2 linked regions of the Stegostoma tigrinum genome follow. The protein of the gene in region 1 interacts with the protein of each later gene in a pairwise test. Links are inferred from orthologs where the notes say so. Each region holds a gene or a part of one and is shown in the gene's direction. Other genes may lie near its edges.

What was found.
Region 2: the proteins of top3b (region 1) and sprouty-related, EVH1 domain-containing protein 2 interact in binary tests that used the Homo sapiens proteins (3 or more experiments, as listed by UniProt). The link is inferred for Stegostoma tigrinum from reciprocal best matches to the Homo sapiens genes TOP3B and SPRED2.

What each region holds. Positions count from the first base shown.
Region 1 is NC_081379.1:44,586,740-44,593,632, reverse strand, and holds the start of top3b (DNA topoisomerase 3-beta-1), read left to right. Parts: upstream 1-3,880; 5' UTR 3,881-3,948; coding exon 3,949-4,018; intron 4,019-6,893. UniProt on the Homo sapiens protein: Releases the supercoiling and torsional tension of DNA introduced during the DNA replication and transcription by transiently cleaving and rejoining one strand of the DNA duplex.
Region 2 is NC_081362.1:2,574,453-2,581,998, reverse strand, and holds the start of sprouty-related, EVH1 domain-containing protein 2, read left to right. Parts: upstream 1-4,546; 5' UTR 4,547-5,089; coding exon 5,090-5,115; intron 5,116-7,546. UniProt on the Homo sapiens protein: Negatively regulates Ras signaling pathways and downstream activation of MAP kinases. Recruits and translocates NF1 to the cell membrane, thereby enabling NF1-dependent hydrolysis of active GTP-bound Ras to inactive GDP-bound Ras.

The sequences.
Region 1 (6,893 bases):
CTCAGTTTTGCATACAGTTCTGGGTACCAGACTATGGTAAGGATATGAACAAATTGGGGAGACTGCAGAAGAGATTTACAGGAATGATTCCAGAGATGGAAAATTTCAGTTATGATAGATTGGAGAGAATGGAACTTTTCTGCTTAGAGAAAGAAAGCTAAAAACACATCTGACAGAAGTTTTCAAAAATCACAAGTGGACTGGATTGTGTAAATAAGCTGTTCCTACTTATTCAAGGATCAAGAATAAGAGGGCTCAGATTTAAAGTGATTTCCGAAGGAAACAAAAGACAAGGTGAAATAAAATTGCTAATGCATGGTTTAGGTGTGGAATGCGCTGGAGGCAGGTTCAATTGAGGCTTTTAAGGCAGCACTGGATGATTATTTAAACAGAAACAATGTGCTTGAGTATGTGGAGAAGGCAGGAAATGGCACCAAATCATGATGCTCATGTGGAGAAACGGTGAATACACAACTGGCTTTTACAACCATTCTTGTAATTCTTTTCTTGCAAACAGGAAAGTGAAGTTGAGACCACAAACAGATCAACCATCATACTGAGGTAATGGGAACTGCAGATGCTGGAGAATTCCAAGATAATAAAATGTGAGGCTGGATGAACACAGCAGGCCAAGCAGCATCTCAGGAGCACAAAAGCTGACGTTTCGGGCCTAGACCCTTCATCAGAAAGGGGGATGGGGAGAGGGAACTGGAATAAATAGGGAGAGAGGGGGAGGCGGACCGAAGATGGAGAGTAAAGAAGATAGGTGGAGAGAGTATAGGTGGGGAGGTACGGAGGGGATAGGTCAGTCCACGGAAGACGGACAGGTCAAGGAGGTGGGATGAGGTTAGTAGGTAGCTGGGGATGCGGCTTGGGGTGGGAGGAAGGGATGGGTGAGAGGAAGAACTGGTTAGGGAGGCAGAGACAGGTTGGACTGGTTTTGGGATGCAGTGGGTTTGGGGGGGGGGGGGGGGGAAGAGCTGGGCTGGTTGTGTGGTGCAGTGGGGGGAGGGGACGAACTGGGCTGGTTTAGGGATGCAGTAGGGGAAGGGGAGATTTTGAAACTGGTGAAGTCCACATTGATACCATATGGCTGCAGGGTTCCCAGGCGGAATATGAGTTGCTGTTCCTGCAACCTTCGGGTGGCATCATTGTGGCAGTGCAGGAGGCCCATGATGGACATGTCATCTAGAGAATGGGAGGGGGAGTGGAAATGGTTTGCGACTGGGAGATGCAGTTGTTTGTTGCGAACTGAGCGGAGGTGTTCTGCAAAGCAGTCCCCAAGCCTCCGTTTGGTTTCCCCAATGTAGAGGAAGCCGCACCGGGTACAGTGGATGCAGTATACCACATTAAGCAGAGGTTCACCTGCACATCTGCCAATGTGGAATGTCATCTTGGGGCCTGGGATAGGGGTGAGGGAGGAGGTGTGGGGACAAGTGTAGCATTTCCTGCGGTTGCAGGGGAAGGTGCCGGCTGTGGTGGGGTTGGAGGGCAGTGTGGAGCGAACAAGGGAGTCACGGAGAGTGTGGTCTCTCCGGAAAGCAGACAGGGGAGGGGATGGAAAAATGTCTTGGGTGGTGGGGTCGGATTGTAAATGGTGGAAGTGTCGGAGGATGATGCGTTGTATCCGGAGGTTGGTAGGGTGGTGTGTGAGAACGAGGAGGATCCTCTTAGGGCGGTTGTGGCGGGGGCGGGGTGTGAGGGATGTGTTGTGGGAAATACGGGAGACGCGGTCAAGGGCGTTCTCGATCACTGTGGGGGGAAAGTTGCGGTCCTTAAAGAACTTGGACATCTGGGATGTGCAGGAGTGGAATGTCTTATCGTGGGAGCAGATGCGGCGGAGGCGGAGGAATTGGGAATAGGGGATGGAAGTACGCTTGAATAGCCTACTCTTGTTCCTAAATTCTCTAGCTACTTCACATCCTTCTTGAAGTGTAGTGTCAAGACACTGGGAAGGACTTACTGCTCTTCTTTGAAGTGTTGGTCATACAACTGTGTGCTTTCATTCAAGGGGTCTCAGTTTGAGGTCTTATCCAAAAGATGGCATCTCACTATTACTAACAGAGACACTTGACATCTTGGTTTTCACTGAGGTGGCATAACTGAGGATCCATCCTGATTACAGTTCAAATGATGATTAAAAATACTGAAGCTGACCTTAAATGATATGGTATATGAACATTTGAAAGTGTTATCAGATCAAGCAGCAAAGAACTGTAGCCTTAATCTCAGACAGAAAAATTTTGAAAAATGGCGACATGGTGTCAGTCTCATGTGTGCCGATTGTTGAAAAATTCTGGTATTATGAGGAGTACTGTTTTCTTCCCCACCTCAGTATTCAGTAAGTTGATATGGTCGCAGCAATATAAGACAGAAGCCAATGACAACTTGTACATTTGCTCTGGCTTAGCATGTAGCACACTTGCCTTTGAGTTATGGAATTCTGTGTTACAAGTCACACGCTCGAGATTCAAACATATAACAGGTTGATACTTCCCTATTGCAATGAAGAACATTAGGCCATTTTTCAGCCAAGGCATTAAACTTCAGCAGTGGCTCAGTTAAACTCTCTTGGCCTCTAAATTTCAGTCCCACTCCAAGGTTTAAGCCTTGAGCACAAAGATGGTGCTGTGGTGCAATATGGAGGAAGTGCTGCACTGTTGAAGGTGCTAGCTCCTGGATGAGAAGTTAATTTGGTTTCCGATATGCTTGTTCAATTGGATATGAAAGATCCCACACACTATTTTGAAAAAGAAATGTGACAAGATATGCCTAAGACAGATTTGTTCTGTCCTGTTCCTCAGGAAGAGAGATGTTGTAAACACGGTACCATGGGGTCTGCTCCATGGAAAGAAGATTAAATAGCTTTGGATTTTTTAAACAAAAAACTAAACAAAAAAAGCAGGAGGGTTTGAACAAGGCTTACACAGATACAGGGCTTTAGTTTATACTTTCAGTTGTTGAAGCTGGGGTTTGGACTAAGATGCTAGATACAGTTCTCACTCTGTAGTTAAAGATGTTCAGTCAGTGTTCCTTCTCCTGGACTGGATAAGATCATAAGTGATGGAAATCTGTTTTGCTGAATTGACCTGTGCCAAGGGTGTGTTTATGGGATGCTGTTACATTGGAACAGTAGGAGTAGCTGTTAAATAATATATAATTTTGCTATGTATCTAGATAGAGTTATGGTTATGCCATTTTTTTTGTTTTTGTTTCTGTTTCTAAACTGTGGTGCCAGAATCAAGTGTGTTTTGCTTAAAGCATAGTAGTTTGACCAATTGAATCAGATATGCAATGCAGCTCCTTATACTTACCTCTATAAAGAGAAAAAGGTAGAATCTAAGCTGTCTCCTCGATATATATTAAGGAGATTCGGTCTGGCTCATAGAAGAAGGAAATTTGCACTGATGAGCTAGAGCCAATATGTAACCCTTCCTCTATCAAGACCACAAATAACAGATTATCTGCTCATGTTCACATTGTTAACCAAATTCATATGTGGGCAGAATAGGGCTGCTGCGATGTCAGAACAACCAAAGCAGATGCTTGGGCAAGATGCTCTAGTTCAGATCCATTATTTGTACAACATGGCTCTAAATTTAAAACAAAAATTGCAGTACACGGCTTTAAAATAAAAAAGTGACCCTTCCACAGAACAGCATCCGTAGTGCTCTGTTTCTGAAATAAGGTGTGTTGGGACGTCAATTTTTACCTATTATCAAATTAAGTTTGTAGAGGAGAAATTACATTTTTGTTGTTTGGAAGGTGCCCTGTCTCATGCGGTATGATCACAGCTTCCAGCGCTGATCTGCACTGAGCAAAGGGCCTCGCGGTTACCATGGGAATCGGCCGGAACCGGAAGTCTAGTCGAGAGCACAGGAAGGGGTCGTGCGTGGGTGTCATGGCGACGGCCTGAAGGAGGTGGTTGTATTGAGCGAGGTCGGCATCATGAAGACGGTGTTGATGGTCGCCGAGAAACCTTCTCTGGCTCAATCCATCGCCAAGATCCTGTCGCGGGGTAAGTGAGCCTCGATCAGCAGTAATCTGTACGAATGTGTGGGCTTGTTCCTACGAGCTCAGTTTTTCCACGGCAGATCCATTGAGGCACAGCTTTGGCATTGGTCCTACGGTTTCCCTTCGTTTCGAAACTAGCTGGATGTACCATGAGGCCACGTTAAAGCGCTTTGTAAAATTTGCCTTCTGTACTAGTACAGCCAGATTATTGGAAATTACAACCAGGGAACAACATTTGAGATGAGTGACTGGATCATCTATCTTTAATGAATGATTAAGTTTTGGTTCCGAGACTTGAGCAAATTCTTCTAACCTTTGCTAAATCGGGTTGTGTGCTATTTCATGAGGGATGACCTTATAGAGGTATATAAAATCTTGTGGATAAAGGTGAACGGCGGTTGCCTTTTCTCTAGGGTGCGGGATTTCAAGACTAGAAGGCACTTTAAGGTTAGAAGAGAAAGATTTAAAAAGAAAACAAGAGGCAATATTTTTGCAGAGTGTCTTATATATAGAATAAACTTCCAGAGAAAGTGGTGGATGCGAGTACAGTTACAACATTTAAATAAATGAAAGAAACGTACGTAGGGATACAGGCCTAGTGTAGGCAAGCGGGACTAGTTTAGATGAGGATTTATGGTCAGCATGGATTGGTTGGTTTGAAAGGTCTCCTATGCTGAATGCCCAATTGAGCAAGTAGATCAGCCTCAAGTTAACATTTCATCTGGCCAATGGCATCTCCCAATAATTCAGCACTCCCTCAGTTATGATAATGTGACAACCTAGATTATGTGCAGAATCAGGGTCTGAGTCCCTATTGTTCCAACTTGCAAGAAAAACTTACCGCTAAACTGAGTTGTCACTCACTATTATGATGCTCAGAATGCATACTCTTTCAGTAACTTTCTTGTTGAATATCACAATTACAGGTAGGGTCTAGATTAAAAATCAGTAAATGAATTAGCCAGACCTTTGTGCTGATCAGGAAGCATGGGCAGGTGTCAGTTGGAGATAGCAAGAACTGCAGATGCTGGAGCCAGAGTCAACATGGTGTGAAGCTGAAGAAATACAGCAGGTCAGGCAGCTTCAGAGGAATAGGAAAGGGCCCTTCTTCAGAATTGGGGAGGGGAAAGGGAGCCGGGAAATAAATAGAACAAGGAGGGGTGTGGCTGATTGAAGGTAGGTGGCATGGTGATAGGTGGATGCATGTAGGGGATGGTGGAGATTGGTCAGTGGGAAGGGTGGGGCAGATAGGTGGGAGAGAAGAAGGACAGGTTGTGTCAGGTCAAGGAGGTGAGAGGGAGGATGTGTGGGCCTGAGGCAGGGGTGGTGGCTGCAGATGTGGGGAAATAGGGATTGGCCAGTGGGAAGGGTGGGGCAGAAGATTGACAGGTTATGTCAGGTCATCGAGGCGTGTATGAGAAGGAGGTTTGGACATGGGATGGGGAGATTTTAAAACTGGTGAATTCAATGTTTAGGCCATTGGGCTGTAGGCTTCTGAGGTGTATTATGAGTTGTTGCTCCTCCAATTTGTGTGTGGCCTCATTATGACACTGGAGGAAGCCCAGGATGGACATGTCATCCCAGGCATATGATGGGGAGTTGAAATGCTTAGCGACTGGAAGGTGTTGTCGATTATCACGTACGGAGCGCAGGTGGCCCACGAAATGGTCAAGTCTGCGCTTGGTCTCACTGACGTAGAGGAGACCACGTTGGGAGCACTGGATATTGTAGGCCAGGTTGTAGGATGTACAGGTGAAACCCTAGCAGATATGGGAAATTTGCTTTGGGCCTGGAAGTGAGGGGAGAAGTGTAGGGGCAGGTGTAGCACTTCCTGCAGTTGCAGGGAAAGGTGCCGGGTGTGGTGGGGTTAGTGGGGAGCGTGGAGCAGACAAGGGATTTGCAGAATGAGTTGTCTGTATGAAAGACGGAGAGGGAAATATCTCTTTGGTTGTGGGGTCAAATTGCAGATGGGGTTGTGGTGGAGGTTGATGTGTTGGATACAAAGGTTAGTGGGGTGATATGTGAGGACCAGGAGTCTGTGTCTTTATTTTTGTTGGGGGGTGGTGGTTAGAGGCCAATACAAGCTATGTGGTTGAGGGCATTTTGATCATTAGATTGGGCAAATTGCAGTCCTTAAAATAGGAGGACATCTGGGATGTATGGGAGTGGAACGCTCCATCTTGGGAGCAGATGTGGCGAAGGTGGAGGAATTGGGAGTATGGGATTGCATTCTTGTAGGAAGGTGAGTGAGTGGAGGTGTAGTCCAGTAGCCATAGGAGTCGGTGGGTTTGAAATAAATGTCGGTGTTGAGGTGGTTATCAGAGATGGAGATGGAGAAGTCCAGGAAGGGGAGGGAAGTATCGGACATGGTCCAGGTGAATTTGAGGCTGGGATGAAAGGTATTAGTAAAGTTGATGAACTGTCCTAGCTCCTCGTGGGAGCATGTTAGCACTGATACAGTCATCAGTGTAACAGAGGAAGAGTGTGGGATGGTGCCTGTGTAATAGCGGAAAAGGGACTGTTCCACGTTTCCTACGAAGAGACAGATGTAGCTCGGACCCATATGGGTGCCCATAGCCACCCCCTTAGTTTCTAGGAAGTGGGAGGAATTAAAGGAGTTGTTGTTCAGGGTAAGGAAAAGTTCTGTTAAGTGGATGAGGGTGTTGGTAGTGGGAGACTGGCTCGGTCTGTGAGAGAAGAAGAAGTGAAGGGCATTTCGGCCATCTGCATGGCGCCTAAAAGTGTCAGAAATTGGATGTCCATAGTGAAGATGACATTTTGGGGTCCAGGGAATTGGAAGTCTCAGGTGAGGTGGAGGGCATAGGTGGTATCATGAATGTAGGTGGGGAGTTCCTGGACATGGGTTTGGTGGGGGGGAC
Region 2 (7,546 bases), on another chromosome or scaffold:
ATATATTTCCAAGTCAGGATGGTGAGTGGCTTGGAGGGGAACTTGGAGGGGGTGGTGTTCCTATGAATCTGCTGCCCTTGTCCTTCTACGTGGGTTTGGAAGGCGCTGTCTACGGATCCTTGATGCAGTGTAATTTTCTGCAGTGCATCTTGTAGACAGTACACATGGCTGCTACTGAGTGTCGGTGGTGGAGGGAGTGGATGCTTGTGGATGTGGTGCCAATCAAGAAGTTGCTTTGCCCTGGATGGTTTGAGCTTCTTGAGTGTTGTTGGAGCTGCACCCATCCAGGCAAGTGGGGAGTGTTCCATCACACTCCTGACTTGTGCCTTGTCAATGGTGGACAGGCTTTGAGGAGTCAGATGGTAGGTTACTTGCCACGGCATTCCTAACCTCTAACCTGTTCTTGTAGCCACTGTATTTATATGGTGAGTCCAATTCTGGTGGATGGTAACCTCTAGGATGTTGATTGTGTGGGCAGTGAGTGATGGTAATGCCATTGAACATAATGGGACAGTGGTTAGATTGTCTCTTATTGGAGATGGTTATTGCCTGACTTTTGTGTGGCACGAATGTTACTTGCCACTTCTCATCCCAAGCCTGGATATTGTCTGGATCTGTTGCATTTGAATAGGGACTGCTTCGGTATCTGAGTTGTTGTGAATGGCGCTAAACACGATGCAATCATCAGCAAATATCCCCACTTCTGACCTTAGGATGGAGGGGAGGTCATTGATGAAGCAGCTGAAGATGGTTGGGTATAGGGCACAAAGAATATCCTTGAGGTTTGTCTTATAGAGGGTAGCAATGTGGAGGTACTCAGGGACAGAATTTCAGAGTTAGGACCGCGACAGATCAAGATACAGTCACCAAAGGTGTCGTGATTAAAGTCACAATTGAAGTTGATAGCTGCCCAGAGATTCTTCAGGGGATAATGTTTAATTTCACACAGCTCCTTATGAATGGGTCCAATGATATTAAACAGATTATGCCACTTATACATTGGTATGACAGTAGTGGGCCAATCACTACAAACACACACGTCCTGAATGGATGGGCATGGGCAGATGTGATGTCAAATAAACCGATGAATAAATATTTCCATTGGATATAATTAGCATTAATGAGACGAGGTGTAGCCAGCTCTCTCTAGTTACAATTTTCAGGCTTAATAATCATGCTTAAACCACATCAAATCAATTTGGTGTGGAGCTGGATGAACACAGCAGGTCAAGCAGCATCAGAGGAGCGGGAAAGCTGACAGTTCCGGTCTACACCTTCCTTCTGAAAAAAAAAGAAGGTTCTAGACCTGAAACGTCAGCCTTCCTGCTCCTCTGGTGCTGCTTGGCCTGCTGTGTTCATCCAGCTCCACACCTTGTTATCTCAGATTCTGCAGCGTTGGCAGTTCCTACTGTCTCTGAACCAATCTGGTGATGTTGTTGGCTAAAATCTGGAAATGCTAATGAAGAAAACTCATTTTTACTTATCAGTTTTACTGAGAAAAGTGTGCACAAAGTGTAAATCCTTCAGAGTATGGCAGTCCTGCTTGCCAGTTATAAAGGAAACGCCATTTCATTCATGTTCCCAGATCCAGTGCGGTGGAAAGCAGCAGAACAGTGTTTGCAGGTTGTTGGGTGACTCTCACCCTGAAGCAGCAGCAAGATGTCGACAGGCTGCCTCACAAAGAGAACAGTGCAGCAATGATGAGTGCTCCAGACACCAGGAACTGAAGATTGACTCCAGCTGCTACTCAACATCCTGTAACAGACGCTACAGCTCATCCATAAGCCATTTCTCGCAGCTTTGGAGGCCAGTGTCAACCTTTTGAAATCTTCTACAGTGGGGTTCAAACATTCATTTAACTGCGCTTATCTGAATCAGGGTAGTTACTACAGGCAAAGCTGTTCAGATGTCCTGACCTGCTGTTTAGTATAATATTCCCAAGTTTGGAGCCCTGACAGTCTGTTACAGTTGATTGTGTGCACATGGCTGTTGTAACATTTAATGCAAACACATGTATCTGTCTAATGTGTTTCCTTGCTCATTGGTCCAGACTTCCTATTGTTGCAGATGCAAAACATTTGTTTTCCATAATCCGGTTCATTTGTTGACTGCAAACTTGAGGTATTTCCCAATTTGGAATGTCCCATTTATAAACACAAACGCTAGGTGAAGTTTGCCATCTGGCCCTTTCAGCTTGTTCCACCATGCAATGTTTACTTCGCCAGGCTTGCTTGTCTTGCTCCCATTCCGCTGTAATTGACAGGATCCATCCACACCACTTCTATAAAATCTGAAAGAACTACTGATGCTGTAAATCCGGAACAAAGACGGAAGTTGCCACAAAAATAAGCTCAGCAGGTCTGGCAGCATCTGTGAAAAAGGGTCACCAGAGTCGAAATGTTAACTCTGATTTTTTTTTCTCCCCAGATGCTGCTAGGCCTGCTGAGTTTTTCCAGCAACTTTTGTTTACCAACGATGGGTGTGACAAAAACAGAAGTTGCTGGAAAAGCTCAGCAGTTCTGGCTGCTACAAGAATGCATGTTAACATTTCAGGTCACTTTCAGGCACTATCTGACAGAAATGATCAAAGTCACAAGGGATCTGGACAACGTAGAGAGGGAGGAATGCTCCCACTCATGAAAGAATTAAGACAAGAGGGCACAAACAGACAATTGCAAAAGAAATAAAAACTGAGCTGAGAAAGAGCTTTTTCATTCAGTATGCAGCTAGGTTATGGAATGCACCACCTGATGATGTGGTGAAAGCAGTGCCTATTAAGTTGTTCAAGGAGGAGTTAGATGGTTACTTGAAAAGCAGGAACATGCAGGATAATGAGGAGAATGATACTAAGAGAATTGCTCACTTGAAGGGCTAGTATAGCCACAATGGGTCAAATAACCTCCTTCTGCACTGTAACAGAGCCGCACTACACTTATGAAAAGGCTCTCCAACATCTCCCAGATCATATTGAAGGGTCAGGAAACAGGTCACTAAACCTGTTCAGTTCTCTGCAGATGCTGCCCAACCTGCTTAGTAACATTTCCTGCTAACAATTCAAGTTTGTTTGACAACAGCCATCATACTTACTCCCAACAAGTAATATTCTCCTCTGGCCTGAATGACCCTGTAACCACCCACCCCCCACCAAATTCAGCAATGGGCGCATGAAATAAGCACAGTTTCCCACAAGGAATTCCACAGGCACCTCACAAAAAGAATCGGAGTTTCAAAATGCACAATTGGAGCAACAAAAAACAGAACTTAGCACATACTGTCTGCAATTCACGCTTTGGTGGAGTTAAACATCTGTATAAAACCTGGTTACAAATAACCAGCAAACTGCAACAGCCCATAAATCTCCACCTTTTAGTCAGTGATTCCACCCCTCATACTACTGCAGAGGAAGCTCTTCCCACATTGGAACACAGAAACAGGAGTGAGCCATTCGGCCCCTTAAGCCTGTTGCACCATTCAATGAGATCATGGCCGATCTGTGGCTTAAAGCCATTTACCTCACATTGGCCCGTATCTCTTAATATTTTTGTGGAACAAAAAGTTATCTATCTCTGAGTTGTAATTAATGGTGTTACCTTTTTTGAATCCCTTGTACTCAAAAGCTCTGTTGTTGCCAATTCTCAATGCCCTTCCCCAAAGACCAGAGCCCACCCCCTCCTCTTGTTTCTGATTGCTCCACAGCAGTTGTTTATTTTTCCAGACGATCCCGTTAGTCAAATATCTCCCAGGAGGAGGCGCCAGACTTCATTCTCTGCCTTCGACGTGTGATTGATTGAGCAACTTAGAAATCGGTGTGTTACTTTTTAAACCCCAGCTAGGAAAAGGTTCGGGGTGGGGGTGACGAAACGAGAGCAAAATGGTATTTTTTAATGGACAAGGATAACAAAATAGAGATATGAAATTGGGGGAGGGGGCGTAATTTATGGACTCGTCTCGAACTTTTACTGTAAAATCTCCGACAGGAATCATGTGATTTCCCAAATACATGCAAAAAAATGTACCACCATCTCCGCAGAACCATATGCTGTTTCTTCTTTTGCCAAGAAGACTTTGCATGTCGTGACTTTAAGGGGCAATGCAATCTGGAGGGCAAACTGCCAATGAACCCCTCCACACACACACACACACACACACACACACAAAGACATAGCCTTCGGAATGTGCACAGCTTCTATCCGTTGCAGATGGATTTGCCTGTTGGTGAAACTACTCCTACCTGATAGCAATCACATCCGATTTAGTTCAGTATCAATGCGCCAGTTCCAATCCTTTCTGGAAGTCCTTCAAATTTTAAATACACAAACACACACGCACAGATATATACGTAGTTACGAGAATCAACAGCAGGAGCGGAGTGAAAATCGGATTTGCAAGTTGTAACCGCAAAAGGAAACAAGTTTGCAAAGTGTAGCCAGCACAGTTGAATGGCAATGTAACAATGTTGCGGGCTTAGGGCTGTTGTGTGTGTGTGAGACTGTGTGTTTTTGTGAATGGGGATGGGAAGTGGATGGGGCTAGGGCACTCTTTGGTTGCAGCGCACGCAGAGAGAGGGAGAGGGAGCTTTCGCTGCTTGGACTCAGGCTGATGTCATTGCTTCCGCCCTGTTTCCTTTTCGCTGAATCCAAAATGGAGTGAACTGAGTTTGTGAAAACATAGGGAGCATTTCAAGCTGCTCTTTCTCCCCCGACTTGTCCCTCCCCAAGCCTCTGGATTCTGGCCTGGGGCTTCACTCTGCTCTGCCGCCGTCCCTGTTGCTGCACAGTTTCGCGGCCGGAGGGAGAGAGTGTGTGTGAGAGAGGGGGAGGGAGAGAGAGACCCGGGGATTGCGGCCCCAGCGGCAGCTTCATGTGCAGAGAGCGGCCGCTCGGAGCGGCTCAGGCCCGGTCAGAGAGTGCAGCAAGAGCCGGCCTCCAGCTCCGAGAATGTGACTGTGTCCCTTAGGCAGCCCCGAGGCGAGGAGGGCCCGATTCCCACCGTGTCCCCCCGGGTTCCCAGGTTCCAGCTCCCAGTACAACCCGAACAGGCGCCAGAGCCCCAGGAAGTTTGCAGCAATGTCCGCTCCGGGGGAACCACAATGACCGAGGAACCGCCGCCGGAACAGTGAGTGCCTCAGCAACAACGCCCCCCCCCACTAACCCTCACAACCCCCCCCCCCCCACTAACCCTCACAACCCCCCCCCCACTAACCCTCACAACCCCCCCCCACTAACCCTCACAACCCCCCCCACTAACCCTCACAACCCCCCCCCACTAACCCTCACAACACCCCCCCCACTAACCCTCACAACCCCCCCCACTAACCCCCTCGACCCCCCCCAACTAACCCCCCGACCCCCCCAACTAACCCCCCGACCCCCCCCAACTAACCCCCCGACCCCCCCCAACTAACCCCCTCGACCCCCCCAACTAACCCCCTCACACCCCCCCAACCAACCCCCTCACACCCCCCCAACCCACCCACCCTCAAGAACCCCCCACCCCACCAACCCTCAAGATCCCCCCCACCCCACCAACCTCACGATGCCCCCCCACCCCACCAACCCTCATGATGCCCCCCACCCCACCAACCTCACGATGCCCCCCACCCCACCAACCCTCACGATGCCCCCCACCCCAACAAACACCCCCCACTCGATCCCCCCCCACTCGATCCCCCCCCACTCGATCCCCCCCCACTCGATCCCCCCCCACTCGATCCCCCCACTCGATCCCCCCCACTCGATCCCCCCACTCGATCCCCCCACTCGATCCCCCTCGATCCCCCTCCCACTCGATCCCCCCCACTCGATCCCCCCCACTCGATCCCCCCACTCGACCCCCCCCCCACTCGACCCCCCCCCCCACTCGACCCCCCCCCCCACTCGACCCCCCCCCCACTCGACCCCCCCCCCACTCGACCCCCCCCACTCGACCCCCCCCCCCCGATCCCCCCCCCCCCGATCCCCCCCCCCCCGATCCCCCCCCCCGATCCCCCCCCCCCCGATCTCCCCCCCCCGATCTCCCCCCCCCCGATCTCCCCCCCCCCGATCTCCCCCCCCGATCTCCCCCCCCGATCTCCCCCCCCCCGATCTCCCCCCCCCCGATCTCCCCCCCCCGATCTCCCCCCCCCCAGATCCCCCCCCTCGATCCCCCCCCCCCCTCGATCCCCCCCCCCTCGATCCCCCCCACACGATCCCCCACACGACCACTCCCAACTAAACCTCTCAATCCCCCCCAACTAACCCTCCCGATCCCCTCCCACCCTCCCTCCCTCACCCTCCCTCCCTCACCCTCCCTCCCTCACCCTCCCTCCCTCACCCTCCCTCCACCCTCCCTCCCACACCCTCCCTCCCACCCTCCCTCCCTCACCCTCCCTCCCACCCTCCCCTCCCTCACCCTCCCACCCACCCTCCCCTCACCTCCCTCACCCTCCCTCTCACCCTCCCTCCCCTCACCCTCCCTCCCTCACCCCCTCACCCTCCCTCCCTCACCCCCACACCCTCCCCACCCTCCCTCCCTCCCTCCCTCACCTCCCTCCTCACCCTCCCTCCCTCCCTCACCCTCCCTCCCTCACCTCCCTCCCTCCCTCACCCTCCCTCCCTCACCCTCCCTCCCTCACCCTCCCTCCTCACAATCCCCCCCACCTACCCACCCACCCTCCCTCACAATCCCCCCACACCCTCCCTCACAATCCCCCCCCACCTACCCACCCACCCTCCCCCTCAATCCCCCCCCCACCCACCCTCTCAATCCCCCCCCCACCCACCCTCTCAATCCCCCCCCCCACCCACCCTCTCAATCCCCCCCCCCCACCCTCCCTCTCAATCCCCCCACCCTCCCTCTCAATCCCCCCCACCCTCCCTCTCAATCCCCCCCCACCCTCCCTCTCAATCCCCCCCCAACCACCCACCCACCCTCCCTCTCAATCCCCCCCCACCCACCCACCCCTCTCAATCCCCCCCCCCACCCACCCACCCCTCTCAATCCCCCCCCCCACCCACCCCTCTCAATCCCCCCCCCCCACCCACCCACCCCTCTCAATCCCCCCCCCCCACCCACCCACCCCTCTCAATCCCCCCCCCACCCACCCACCCCTCTCAATTCCCCCACCCACCCACCCACCCCTCTCAATTCCCCCACCCACCCACCCACCCCTCTCAATTCCCCCACCCACCCACCCACCCCTCTCAATTCCCCCACCCACCCCTCTCAATCCCCACCCACCCACCCCTCTCAATCCCCACCCACCCACCCCTCTCAATCCCCCCCCACCCACCCACCCCTCTCAATCCCCACCCACCCACCCACCCACCCCTCTCAATCCCCCCCCACCCACCCACCCACCCCTCTCAATCCCCCCCCACCCACCCACCCCTCTCAATCCCCCCCCACCCACCCACCCACCCCTCTCAATCCCCCCCCACCCACCCACCCACCCACCCCTCTCAATCCCCACCCACCCCTCTCAATCCCCACCCACCCACCCCTCTCAATCCCCCCCCACCCACCCACCCACCCCTCTCAATCCCCCCCCCACCCACCCACCCACCCC